3 linked regions of the Oryzias latipes genome follow. The protein of the gene in region 1 purifies or fractionates together with the protein of each later gene. This does not show direct contact. Links are inferred from orthologs where the notes say so. Each region holds a gene or a part of one and is shown on either strand. Other genes may lie near its edges. The genes, in order: activity-dependent neuroprotector homeobox protein, chromobox protein homolog 3 and znf644.

What was found.
Region 2: the proteins of activity-dependent neuroprotector homeobox protein (region 1) and chromobox protein homolog 3 purify together in Homo sapiens (affinity purification with mass spectrometry; 7 studies listed by BioGRID and IntAct, with this or other methods). This does not show direct contact. The link is inferred for Oryzias latipes from reciprocal best matches to the Homo sapiens genes ADNP and CBX3.
Region 3: the proteins of activity-dependent neuroprotector homeobox protein (region 1) and znf644 purify together in Homo sapiens (affinity purification with mass spectrometry; 3 studies listed by BioGRID and IntAct, with this or other methods). This does not show direct contact. The link is inferred for Oryzias latipes from reciprocal best matches to the Homo sapiens genes ADNP and ZNF644.

The regions. Positions count from the first base shown.
Region 1 is NC_019865.2:4,532,781-4,536,934, forward strand, and holds the start of activity-dependent neuroprotector homeobox protein, read right to left. Parts: upstream 2,943-4,154; 5' UTR 2,424-2,942; intron 1-2,423. Other genes in the region: dpm1 (dolichol-phosphate mannosyltransferase subunit 1), read right to left, coding at 3,808-3,912.
Region 2 is NC_019869.2:11,215,388-11,219,588, reverse strand, and holds the start of chromobox protein homolog 3, read right to left. Parts: upstream 2,911-4,201; 5' UTR 2,779-2,910; intron 2,107-2,778; 5' UTR 2,099-2,106; coding exon 1,953-2,098; intron 1,289-1,952; coding exon 1,132-1,288; intron 1,033-1,131; coding exon 938-1,032; intron 280-937; coding exon 153-279; 3' UTR 1-152.
Region 3 is NC_019875.2:5,864,503-5,868,151, forward strand, and holds part of znf644 (zinc finger protein 644), read right to left. Parts: intron 1,652-3,649; coding exon 1,061-1,651; intron 1-1,060.

The sequences.
Region 1 (4,154 bases):
AGCTCCTATTATTGGTTCTCCTTAGAGAGGAATATTAATGCATTCAAAGTTTTGGAACCTCAAATCATGACTTTCATAGATTTATTCAAACAGCACATTTGCATTTTCAGCAGCATTTCTCTTGCACGGACAGTAAAATCAGAAATTTTCAATTTAAATCAGAATACGTTAAGGTTTCTCAGGAGTCCTCATCAATGATTCAGAGTAACCGGTAGAAACCTAAACATATAAATTCCCACTCCAATTATCTTTTGATCCATTTTCAAAGAGTTCCCAGTGGTCTTTTAATCATGATTATCCCTTTCAGATCATCCCTTTGTTTACGTTCTCTTCCGCTAGCTTACAGCCCCTCACAACCCCAACCTAACAATACCAGTGCATTAAAAATGGTGATCAATTTGATCAAAGTTTGAGACAGGTGCCAAATCATGGATCTAGTAGTCTACATGTTGACTCATCAAAATCGAGCAGGAAGCTTGTAGCTTGCCGTAGCAGCTTCTACGTCACAGCTACCAACTTTTTCCAACAGCCTTTTTTTTTCTCAGAAATGTAATTTTAAGCTCAATTTTCATAATAAATGTCCTCCATACTGACATTAAACACCAAAGGAACCTGTTCAGAACACCAAAAACACGATTTTCATTGGAGTGGGTCTTTGAAGTCAATAACCTCTTTGTTTACCGAAGCGTGTTTAGAGGGCAGAATACTCATGATAATCGTGGGCATTTGTTTGAAAACCCACTGAAATATGGATGTCAACATGAACCGGAACAGAAAGTTCTGTGGCTGAAAACAAATGGTCAGATTGGAAAAGACCTACAGCTAAAACAGTTCACCTAATTAAACGTGATTGGCGCTTTGCGGGAAGGTCAAAGGTCACAGAGAGTGGAAAAACAACTGCTGGATGCCAAACATGTCCAGGGAGCACCTGAGGCGGTTCACTCCTCCACCCAAAGGACTCTGGGTGCTGCCATCGCCTCCCTCGCCCCCCCCATAACCTGTAAAAACTGAGAGGCAGACTTCAGTCCACTTCCCACTTCGGCCTTTTTCCTGCTTCCCTCCCCTTCTTGTAGATGGCGCTGGAGAGGAGTGACATTATGTAAGCCTCCCTTCACTCCGCCTGCCCCCCCCCCCCCCCCACCTCATAACACCAATGGAGAACGGCGCCTCCTATTGAGGAAGCAGCAGCCCCCTACAAAAAGGTCTCTGCAGTGGAGGGGGAGGGGATGAGAGAAGAGGAGAGGAGGGAGTGATGTTGGAAGGGAGGAAGAGGAGGAGTGAGAAGCAGGGAATGGAGGAGGGGGGGTTAGAGGGGTGAGAGAAGGAGAGGGGGGGTGAGCAGCTAGTGTGAAGGAAGTGTGAGGGAGAGATGGAAGGGGGGAGTGAGCAGAGGAAGTGAGGCTGGTTTGGGTAAGGAAAAACAGGGGAGAGGGGGTGGGGGAAGAGGGTGAGAGCAAGAGGGGGCAAAGGATGAGGAGAAGGGAGAGGGAAAAAAGGATAGGGAGGAGAGAAGGAAGGAGGGAGGGAGCAAATGCTAGAGGAGGCCACTCTGCTGGCAGAAAACGGGTTCTCCTCCAACATGAAGAGGCCTTTGTATCTCCTGCAGCAGCAGGACACAGCCATGTTCTCTCTGGGAGCACATGCTGGAGCACCATCCAGGTGTGCACGCAGCTTCTGGGGTGGGGTGGGGGTCTCCATCCACTGCAACAGCTGCAAAAGTTTCTCATTCCTTGATTCTGAGGAGGCTGGATGCCAATCTTCAATTATGATGGACGGACTTTCACCTCAAACTCAGTCCGGAAATATTAATATTCTACAGAATGCTAAATATAAGGAGGGTGTTGACTCTTGCAGTTGCTCATAACTCCACAAAGGTTTCATTAATTGAATGCTACTGCATCCTGAAGCCTCTGCATGTTGGACTTTCTTCAAACTTATGAACTACGTCCCGCAGAAAAAAATGACAGCAGCCCTCCTTCCCCCTGGATTGGGGGAAGGCTGAGCTGTCACCACCTCTGAGGAGCCGTTTAGGAGCCCATACCAATAAACCTGAAGAGATCCTTGAGTTCCACTCAGAGTGCGCGGCATCAGCCCCGTAACACATCTGTGGGATGTCCAACATCTGGCAGGATCCAGAACGACAAAGAGTAGGGCGCACGCGCGCTCTGTTAGCCCGCTAAGCTAACAAACAAGCACCAACGGGCTGGACTCGGAATAGGCTTACTGTCGCCTCAGAATCAACCACAAACTCTTATTTTACTTCCTTATAAAGAAGTTGAAAGATATTGGAGTTTACAGAGACCCGCCCTGTTCATATAAACACCCGCCTCGTATACGAGTTACCTTAGCAGCCACCCAGCAGGTAGCCACGGTTAACGGCGAACACCCGGGGTTCACCCCCGCGGGAGGACCTCCAAGTTTACCTGCTTTCGCGTCCGCAGCGCCCGGCTGACCGAACTACGCCCGACCACCGCGATGTGGGGACACTTGCTCCGCTCTCGCCCGCTCAGGTGCTTCGTTCGTGAGGTGAATAGCAAGCCCCCGCTGCCGCTCTACCCCCCAAACCCGACTGTCCCTCTCCAACGAGGGCTGTTTTCTTCCCTGTGGTCGGCAAACAGGAACGGTGGGCGCGCGAGCTTCATCAGATAATTCCGAGGCTCGTTTCCCCGGAGCGCTGCGGGCGCAACGACCGGGTTCGCCCGCTCCTGTGAATAAATGCTCTAAACTCTGCCTATAATTTCCTGGAAGCGGAATCCACTTTGCCCATTCTCTCCTGACAGACAATACACATCCAGCCTGGAAACTGCCCTATCCAAAATGGCGCAAATAAAGGGGCGGAAGTGACGTCGGCATCATTAGCATAAACCATCTTATTGTGAGATCCCGGGTCGTGCCGTCTAATGAAAGCCCCTGATTGGTTTGTCATCAATCAGCGGCCAATTAAGCCGTTATTTATTACATTTTCCTTAACAATTACATACTTTTGAGGCCTAAAAGCTTTATAGGCTTTGAGAGAGGCCATGTGGAGGATAAACAACCCTAAAAAGCAGTTACACAAGCTAACCGACAGCGGGCGTCCTACTAGCTTGGTTAAGTCGGCGCATGCGTGCTGTGCTTACATCTGGTGTACCCTCTTTCCTCCACTCTCTTGAGTACAGCACTTAAGTTCCCAGCCGGAACACTAGGTGGCGCTAAGAAATGCAGCAGAGATAAAGGCTCACTCCCATACAGACTGTGAAAACAGTCTTTTTTTTTTTTTTTTACAATCTATGGTTGCTCCTAATAAAAAGGGTGTTAAAAAATACATCCAAATATATTCCCAGAACATCTTTATTTTGACCAGACAGATTGAGCAATTGTTTTTTCCTTTTACATTGCTGCTAATCACACCTGAACTCAAACTGTTAAACACCTATTTTACAATAAAGTGTCCTTGATATTTGTGTTGTCTATACAGTCCTGCTTCAGATTTAATGAACTAAACTAAAAAATATATAATAATAATAATAAGTGAACAAAGGAGCCAGCAAGACTTGATCATTTTTAACAAACAAAAACATTTTTAAACTGTAACCAGCCTAACGCCTTCATTCTGTGAATTGTCTGATTTAGGAATGATTAAACCGTTTTTTTTGCAAAAAGTGATGGGAATGTGAAACAACATGGGAGAATCTCTGTGCGTGAAAAGGCTTCCAACCGGGACACGTCTTTTTTTCGCATCAGCTGCCGTGCCACTTTTTGATAATCCAGGTACATTTCTGCGCACAGACCTGAAGACCGAGAGACCACTACAAAAGCTCAAGATGATCATGTTGTGGCGAAAAGCATGAGCAGTCCTTTTGCAAAAGACACGATCTCGTTGCCTCCCAGTTTGGATTCCCCGTAGACGCGGTCCACAAAGGAGATGGGAACCTGGCAAAGACAAGAACTTTAATGTCTCTGAAACATTTAGGACATAAGGGTTTGTTGAGCTTCCATTAAATAAACTAATGAAGTAAAGGATGAAGAGTTCGGATCGTAATAAATCACATAAATCACATATATCACCTATATGTGCCCATATAAAATATACAGTCTAATTATTTTAGAAAAGATTAGCATAAATTGAATTAAAATACTCTTAAAAAACATTTTTTTTCGTTGTTTTTTAATGC
Region 2 (4,201 bases), on another chromosome or scaffold:
CAACCTTAAAGCTCATTGAAAACCACACAAGCGTAAAAAAAAAAAAAATCTATGTAATTCATGTAACTAGAAGGATAAGGCAGGAAACAGGAGCACAGAACGTCCTGAGAAAGGAGCAGAGGTAATGCAAAGAACAGCACAAACTACAACAGTTACTGAGCTTCATCTTCTGGACAGGAATGCCACGTCAGTCGCTCCTCATAGAAGGATATGACTACCTGAGGGCAGCGAGTGTTGGCTTCACGGGCCGGGACCAAATCCGCTTCGTCGGAGTCTTTCCTGTAAAAAATTAAACAGCGTTACACAAATGGAAAAAAAAAACATTCAACATAAAACTACTTTAAAAAAATTAGTCATATGATATTCCACAATAAATAACATCTTTCCACAATGTTTCTTTTGTGAACCAACCAATGAAGTTAAGAGAAAATGTGAACAACGTTCAAACTAGAAGTTTTCATTCTGGGCCAAATTGTACTGCTCACCTAAAACAAGTTTTACATTAACCCCTCCCTATGCTGTGGTTTATCTATCGCTGCTTCAAATTTTTATAAATATCTTTGCATGTTTATTTTGATTGCCCTCTGGATCCTGATTGGTTGATGACCATGTCATCCATCTCCTCCCTCCCATGTCTCCTGTACAAATGCGTTTAGCTTGCCCATTACAAACATCTTCCATTGTGACCAGATTTTTGTCTGCTTTCTAAAATATTGGACTTATTGTCTTATTTGAGAGTTTAAACAAGAGAGAAAAGTGTGAAAATGTTTGTTTGTCTGAGAAAAGTGTATAAAGTGTGTAGTGAGGAGTTTTACAATGATAATCCTATGAACCAGATTTTAAAGTGGGATGTTTATCTTATAATTTTTTTCATTTCATAAACATCTTTTAAAGGTTCTGTCTAGTAGACAGTCAGAGACATTCTATAAAAATGTACCATTTCATCAGAAACATTAACTCCCCGCTACTGTCAGTTGCTCCAATAATTCGCTCTGGCTCCAGGTTTCTGGCAAAGCCACGTGGTTTCTCAGCCTAAAGTGGAAGCACATGAACATTCAGAAAACAGTTTTAAAATGGAAGAATGACTAATTAGAACTGAGCTCAAAGTACTGCAATGACATTGTGACATACCATGTCTTTCTTCTTGGGCTCTGTCTCTGGCTCATCTGTGGAGGCTTTCCTTTTAACAGCAGCAGGCTTCTCCTTAATATTCTTTTGTGATTCCAAAAATGCAGAAATCAGCTCAGGACAGTCCAGGTTCTCCTCCGGCTCCCAGGTGTTGTCAGCACTAAATAGTTAAGAGGGCTGTGATCAATTGCATATAAATCATGACTTTTAAAAAAAATGTAAAGCTAACAGGATGCGGAGAACACTAGCAGCTTCATGCAAAAATGACTTTACTACATGTTCAGAACAATCTGAAACCAATCAGATCCAAATGATCTGGGTTATCAAGTGATCAGGGCAATCTGGTGTTCTTTAAAAAATAACAAGACTGGTCAAGTTATGAGAAAATTGTCTAAAGCATATAATCTGGTGTCTTCTTGCATGTAAATGAACTATTTGTAATTTTGGTTTACGTTATATGGGTAGTTACAGCGTGAGTGGAAAACAAAGAAAAAGGGCAGATGCTTGCCACATTCGAGCCAATTGTCTTGTTCTTTTCCTGAAGTATTCAGCCCATTTTGTATACCCATAAGCCAGAAGGAAAATCGAGGCCAAAAATTTGGCTAATTTTAGCTAAATGAAAGCTCAAGTTAAAGGAGGGGGAGGGGTCAAATTAAGAATCATAGTATAAATGTACAAAAACTTTAAAATTGGATCTAAGGCTCATGCTAATCTATTGTAAATGTCTGATTCCTTAACCACATAAAAATGTGGTAACAGAGTAAACAGGCCAACCCCCCTTCCCCATTCTAAAGAACTAGCTGGAGAGGCTCCAGTTAACTCACTCTGTAAATCCTTTCCACTTCAAGTAGAACTCTACTTTCCCATTGACGAGACGCTGGTCGAGTACTTTTTCCACAACAAATTCTTCTGGCTCTTCCTGCGTGTCCTGTGAGTCCTTCTTACTCTTTGTATTCTGCTTCTTGCCCATTCTGGCCTCTAAAACCAAGAGGAAGGAGAGTCAATTGCCGATGTATCACGCAACTGCCCTTTTCCACTTCACCTGTAGGACCCACATTTAGCAGAAAGGCTTGTACCGTAAATATAAAGGTGTACAGCATGTGTGTGTTTAGTTTTTCCAACTTTTTACGACGGACGCGACTCGGCCACGTTCACTCCGCAAGTTTTCCGTAAATGGTACTAGCGTCCTTTGGGTTAGCCAACATGCTAACGTAGCCAAAACAGTTTGAGGCCATGGTACCATTGTTTATATCTTTTTACTAAAAAGGAACATCAACATGCTACAAAAACGTGTTTTCTTTAGATCTTACCTTAACGCCTCAAATAATTACAACAATACAGCAATATCGACACCCAACAAAAAAACGAAAGATTGTTCGTGCTAGTGTTAAGTTAATAGCAATAGCAAAACGAGACAATCAACAGTCTAAAACTAAAAGTATACTATTCATACAACACTCGGGCTTGATAAACTTAAAAAGCTTGAGCTGTGAAGAGTCAAATACAAATTCTGTTCGGTTCATTGCATTCATTTCTATGATGAAGAAGTTAGCTTAAATTACTCCTTACGTCTTAGTTATTTAAGAAAAAAAGTTCAAAAACAAAGAGATGAGATGCAGCATTTAATACCGGTAAACGTAGCTTACATACCTTGTAAAGCCTAGAAAATGACCTCGGTGACGACTTATTCAACCACGCGGTCACTGCCTGTCTTTATGTACAGATGAAGAAAGGAGGGTGCGCGCCAAACGCAAAAGGCGAGTAGGCTACGGAAGCCCGTAAGGAAACAATTTGCTTTAGAGCACTTGTGACTCTACGGTGTCCTGTTAGTTTATTTTTACGTCATTTATTTTTTCTCAGTTTATATAACGGTTTATCTCACAATCTTTAAAATATGTTTTTTCATTTTAAATGAAAAATGAGAATACACGAGTAAAGCTTTGCAGCATGTTTAAAACATTGACACATTTCTATCGTTTTCACTAATAAAGGAACAGCTTATAGTTGTTTTTGTGTTTTAAATATTCTGTATGTCTTGAGTTTTTTTGATATTGACGCTTACAAATGACTTCTGAGCTAAAATAAACTCGTGTTACTAAAGAATACTACAAAAAATGTTTATTTTATGCAAACCAACTTACCTGCTATAGAATGATCTACAGAATTTGGGTGCATAGAATCCTAATAATAAAGCCCTAAATAAAATAACAAATACACAAAACAATATTGTGTCAGTGCAGTTGTATTGATTGAGTGTGAAAAAAATTAAGTATCAGTGTTTAAAGCTGTGAAAATTATTTACTGTCTCAATGTGATTATCAAATGTAAAGTGATTCATTTTCAGTAATCTTTACTTGATAAATATAAGGTTGTCTGTTAAATTTAGTTACACTAAAGCAATACCTTTGCTATAAGTGTGAAGGCGAAATAAAATGATCTGTGCTTCAGTCTACACTTTTGCAATCCAAATGTTTCTATTTTTTTATTTTTATTTGCAATAGTGAACAATATCTTCTACACCAAGTGAACCGAGTTAGTAAAAAATTCTCTGCTAGAAAAATTGTAATTTTGTCAAAATGTCTTCTTTACCATTTTTGACAATACCAAATAACTACAGCACTGGCCAAATGGTGTGATTTGAGTTGTACTTGGATTAATAATAATAATAAAAACTTAAAGCACTAGCAAAGTACTTAAGTTAGGAGAAAGACATTCACCCCACTTTAAAAAATGCTTAGACTTAAAGGTACACATAAAATGTGAACAATAATCTTATATTTATCAGAAAAAACAACAAGAATGCCACTTTCTTTTTTTATTCAGAGTAAACAAATCCCCCAAAAGCGCCTAAATTCTTCAAGAAAAACCATACTATCAGCAATCAACAAGCAAACAATCAAAAAACAAGAAAGACACACATTTGCGAAACTTAGAGACAGAAAAGTAAACTTTAAGCTAAACCAGGAAAAGAAAAATGTCACTTCATGCACTCCACAATTATTTCACACACTTGGCTGACTTTGTAAAGCTGTGAACCCATAGTTTTCATAGCAATCCCTTTGCATAATGACAA
Region 3 (3,649 bases), on another chromosome or scaffold:
CATGGCTGATTCATACGTATCACTAGACAGGGTTTGGCACACACGTGTAAAATGGATTGCCCCCCAACATGTATTAAAGTCGCTGCTAGATGCATAAGTGTGCTAATAAACCCGACGGTACGGCCACATGTAGGAGGAGGAGCTACCATCAAAGTTTTTCTCGAGCTCATCATGGACGACGTGCTGATGAGGGATCAGGTGGATTTATTTTGAAGAGCTGCACAAAAGACTGGATGAGCAGTGCACGTCTACACGTCTAGGTTCACAAGAGCATTCAGAGACTCTCCCAGACAGGAGCAGCAACTGCGTCTAAATGACAACAGCTTTCAGCCGTCTCTCTGCCGTCTCTCTGTGACTCAATTTGACGACTTGCTGTCCGGCACTGTGGCAGGAGAAAGACTTTACAGCAGCAGGGGACGCAGTAAAGGAGTTTGATGTAAATTCTGACATGCCCTGTGTCAGGTACGTGGGTTGGTGAAAGACCCAAAATGCAGAGTCGGGAGGCAGGCGGTTCCAAGTAAAAGGGGTTTAATTTCCAAACAAAAGACACTGTCGAGCAGGGAAACCAAAAACAAAACCCAACTGTCGCCGTAAACAGGAAGACAGGGAAGCAGATGGTATGGACCAGCACAGAGAAAGGCAATGACAAGACATATATACTAACAAGACTGACGAGACACAGGGGAAAAAGATCACGGGAGATTGGAACAAGTAAAACTCAGAACTGCGACATGCAGGAAACCAAGGATTAAAACAACAACTTTGTAATCTAAAGGGATGTAATGCCATGTAATCTGATATTTTATAAAGGCTGTTATTAATACCGTTTAAAGAATTTGGCCTTTCTGAACTGAGCTGGATTACACTGATGAGTCTAGCTTTGGTTGATGATGCTTCTTGCTTTTGCTTTTGTGTTGGTGCTTCACAAATAAACTGAGTTAAGTTTTCTTAAGAACAGTGGATCCAAGTGTAATGCCAAACTTTGGATGGTTTTCTTTGAAACCACATCAACATCTGTAAGAAATAAAAATTTTACAAGAAGAAAGTTACAGGTACTTACCGGCTCCTGTGGTTGGCAGTGTTGCAACCCTTGATCCTGAACTGAGCTCGCCGTTTGAGGAAACTTTTAACACGTTTCTAGACGCTTGAGAAGACGCCTTGAGTCTGGCTTCTTCCTGGCACTTCCTCCTCTTTAGAATTCCTATCAAATCATTGGTGCCTGTGAGGGAATTTTTGACTTCCAAATCTGTCTCCCGGTGCCCATTTTCAGCCTCACTTTCATCTAATGAAAATGAAGTTGTCAGGGGTTTGGTGTCTGTGTTAACCCTTGTAAAAGAATTGTTTTTAGGGAATTCCGTCAATGAAGATGTGAAGCGATTCGCAGTGTGCAGCTTTGGTGAAGCACCATAGTGGAAATGGTTCCGCCTTTTTCCTAAAATCTGAAGAGCTCGTTGGCACTCCTTCTTGTCGCGCATCAGCTCTCGAAGTAAAACTATTGGGGACTTGCTCTTTGTAGAAAAGCTTCTGCCAAGTTTCTTCAGGTGGCCTCTTATGTGATTGGATTGCCCAGTTCTGTTGTCAAAGGAGTCCCCACATAACGGACAAGCATGAACACCCTTCACAGTCTCAGAATCTGACTCCAGCTGTATCGCTGAGGAGGGGAGGAGAACAAAAGGAAACACAAACATTTGATCATAATGTGCATGAGCATAAACCAATATAAAAACATGACACCATAAATGTAGCACCACAAGCATGGTATGACCCATTGACTGTATATGAGAGCTGGACAGAGTGAGTGTGACGTCACCCATAGAAAATATAGGATCTGCAGATAAATTGGTGTTTTTGGACCAAAAAAGGTTCTGGACTTTTAGTTCCGGCTTATCATCTCTGTCTGGGCACCATGTTGTTGTCTGCAGCCCGGTCCTCTTGAGTCAATTCAGTACCTATTTTGTTGCAGTACGGACACCATCGTGTTGGAACCAGACGTTGTTAGTAAACAGTGATTGGTCCGAGTCAGACTGAGTCAATGTTTCTATGGCGACCGCTCTCACAGATCAGGAGTGAGGTTGGGATGTTGGCATCTTGGCTACTTGGGATTCGGGGGAGGGGGGGTATCAAGCTGGATACACTCACACAATAATGACATTTAGTAGCAGTCCTCACTGCAACTACATTTGCTATCATTGTAGTTGTAGTGAGACATGGTATGTCCTGAGACTGAGCAAATACATCCCACTTTCTTAAGTATTATTAGTGTAACCTTCAAAGTTCTCCAAATAAAGTCCTCCTTTTGATCGAAATGGTGGGGCTCCTGGTGGTTATACATAATGCTAGACCAGGAAGTGTCATTCTCGCAGGCTCTACAAACCACTTTCTGTTGTGAAGAACAACTTGAAGAACAACATTGTAGAGCTTCTCTGGAGGAACAAGCTGCTCACCCTATTTCTGAGGTAGACCCAAGCCACCTCATGTGTGATCCCCACTCACAGCTTAGGGCTATAGATTTGTAAGCATACAGGCTCATTTCTAACTAAACCCTGTTTACCACAATGGACTAGAACAAAGTAAACATTAGTCCAGATGCAAAGGTTATTTTCCATTGCATTTGAAAAGTATGCTCGGATACCTAAAACTACTTTTAGGTACCAAAGCAACTGAATCTCCAGAGGACATTTTACCCTTTCTCTGCTAAAACATGTTGTTGCAGACTTGGACTGCTGATCGTCATTGAGACCACATCACACTTAATTGCTAACCACGTCAACCTAAGTTTATGGTCTGGTTAAACTAAAAAAAAGATTGCGGCATTTGCAAAATAAGAATTACAATTTCTTTTTTGGCTTCCAAAAGTAACTACATGACAGGAAGATTTCTTTATCCAAACAAAAGGTGATAAAGAAATGACTTAAACTCTGACCAGCATTAAATCAATCACTAGCTAGGAGAAACAAGTGCCGTCTCTGTTTGTACAGGCTTAAGAAAGAAATCACCTCAAACTGCTCACTGAAAACCCACCACTTACATACAGCAAGACAAGGTTGAAAACCTTTAAATCTTAAGTACAGTAATGGGCCTGATGTTTCCAAGATTCTCCAGAGTCTCTAGTGAAGATCTGGTGCAGTTTATTATGGATGTCACTGTTCTTCCTGAATCTGTGATTTCACTGATAACCAGATTTTACGATTATCAAAAACAGTCTACAATTATTGTTGAGCTGAGCTTTTTTCCTCTACCGTCATTCACAAACTAACTTCTGACTAATGTTAACTTGTTGTCCTTAACTGTCCTATCGTCAAAATCTTATCTAGATGGGCTTTAGGACAATAGGACAACTTCAAGGAGAAGATTTGCAAAACCAAGTTACAACAATCTCTAATCTCATAGAATTGCCACAAGAGACACAATGCCTCCCTAACTGAAAAATCAAGGTTTTCAACCGCTGGAGGGAAATCCTATGAAGAGAACTATAAAAAAAAGAGATTCTGAAACTAGTGACAATCCCACACAGTCACTGCCTGGAAGTAAACTCAAATCTACAAGGTAGCAATTCTCCCCCAATAGAGCGGGGTCTATCAGATATATTCTCCAAAATTTTGGAATAGCCCACTAAGAATCTTGGAATCCAGCTTGAGAAGCTGTTTGC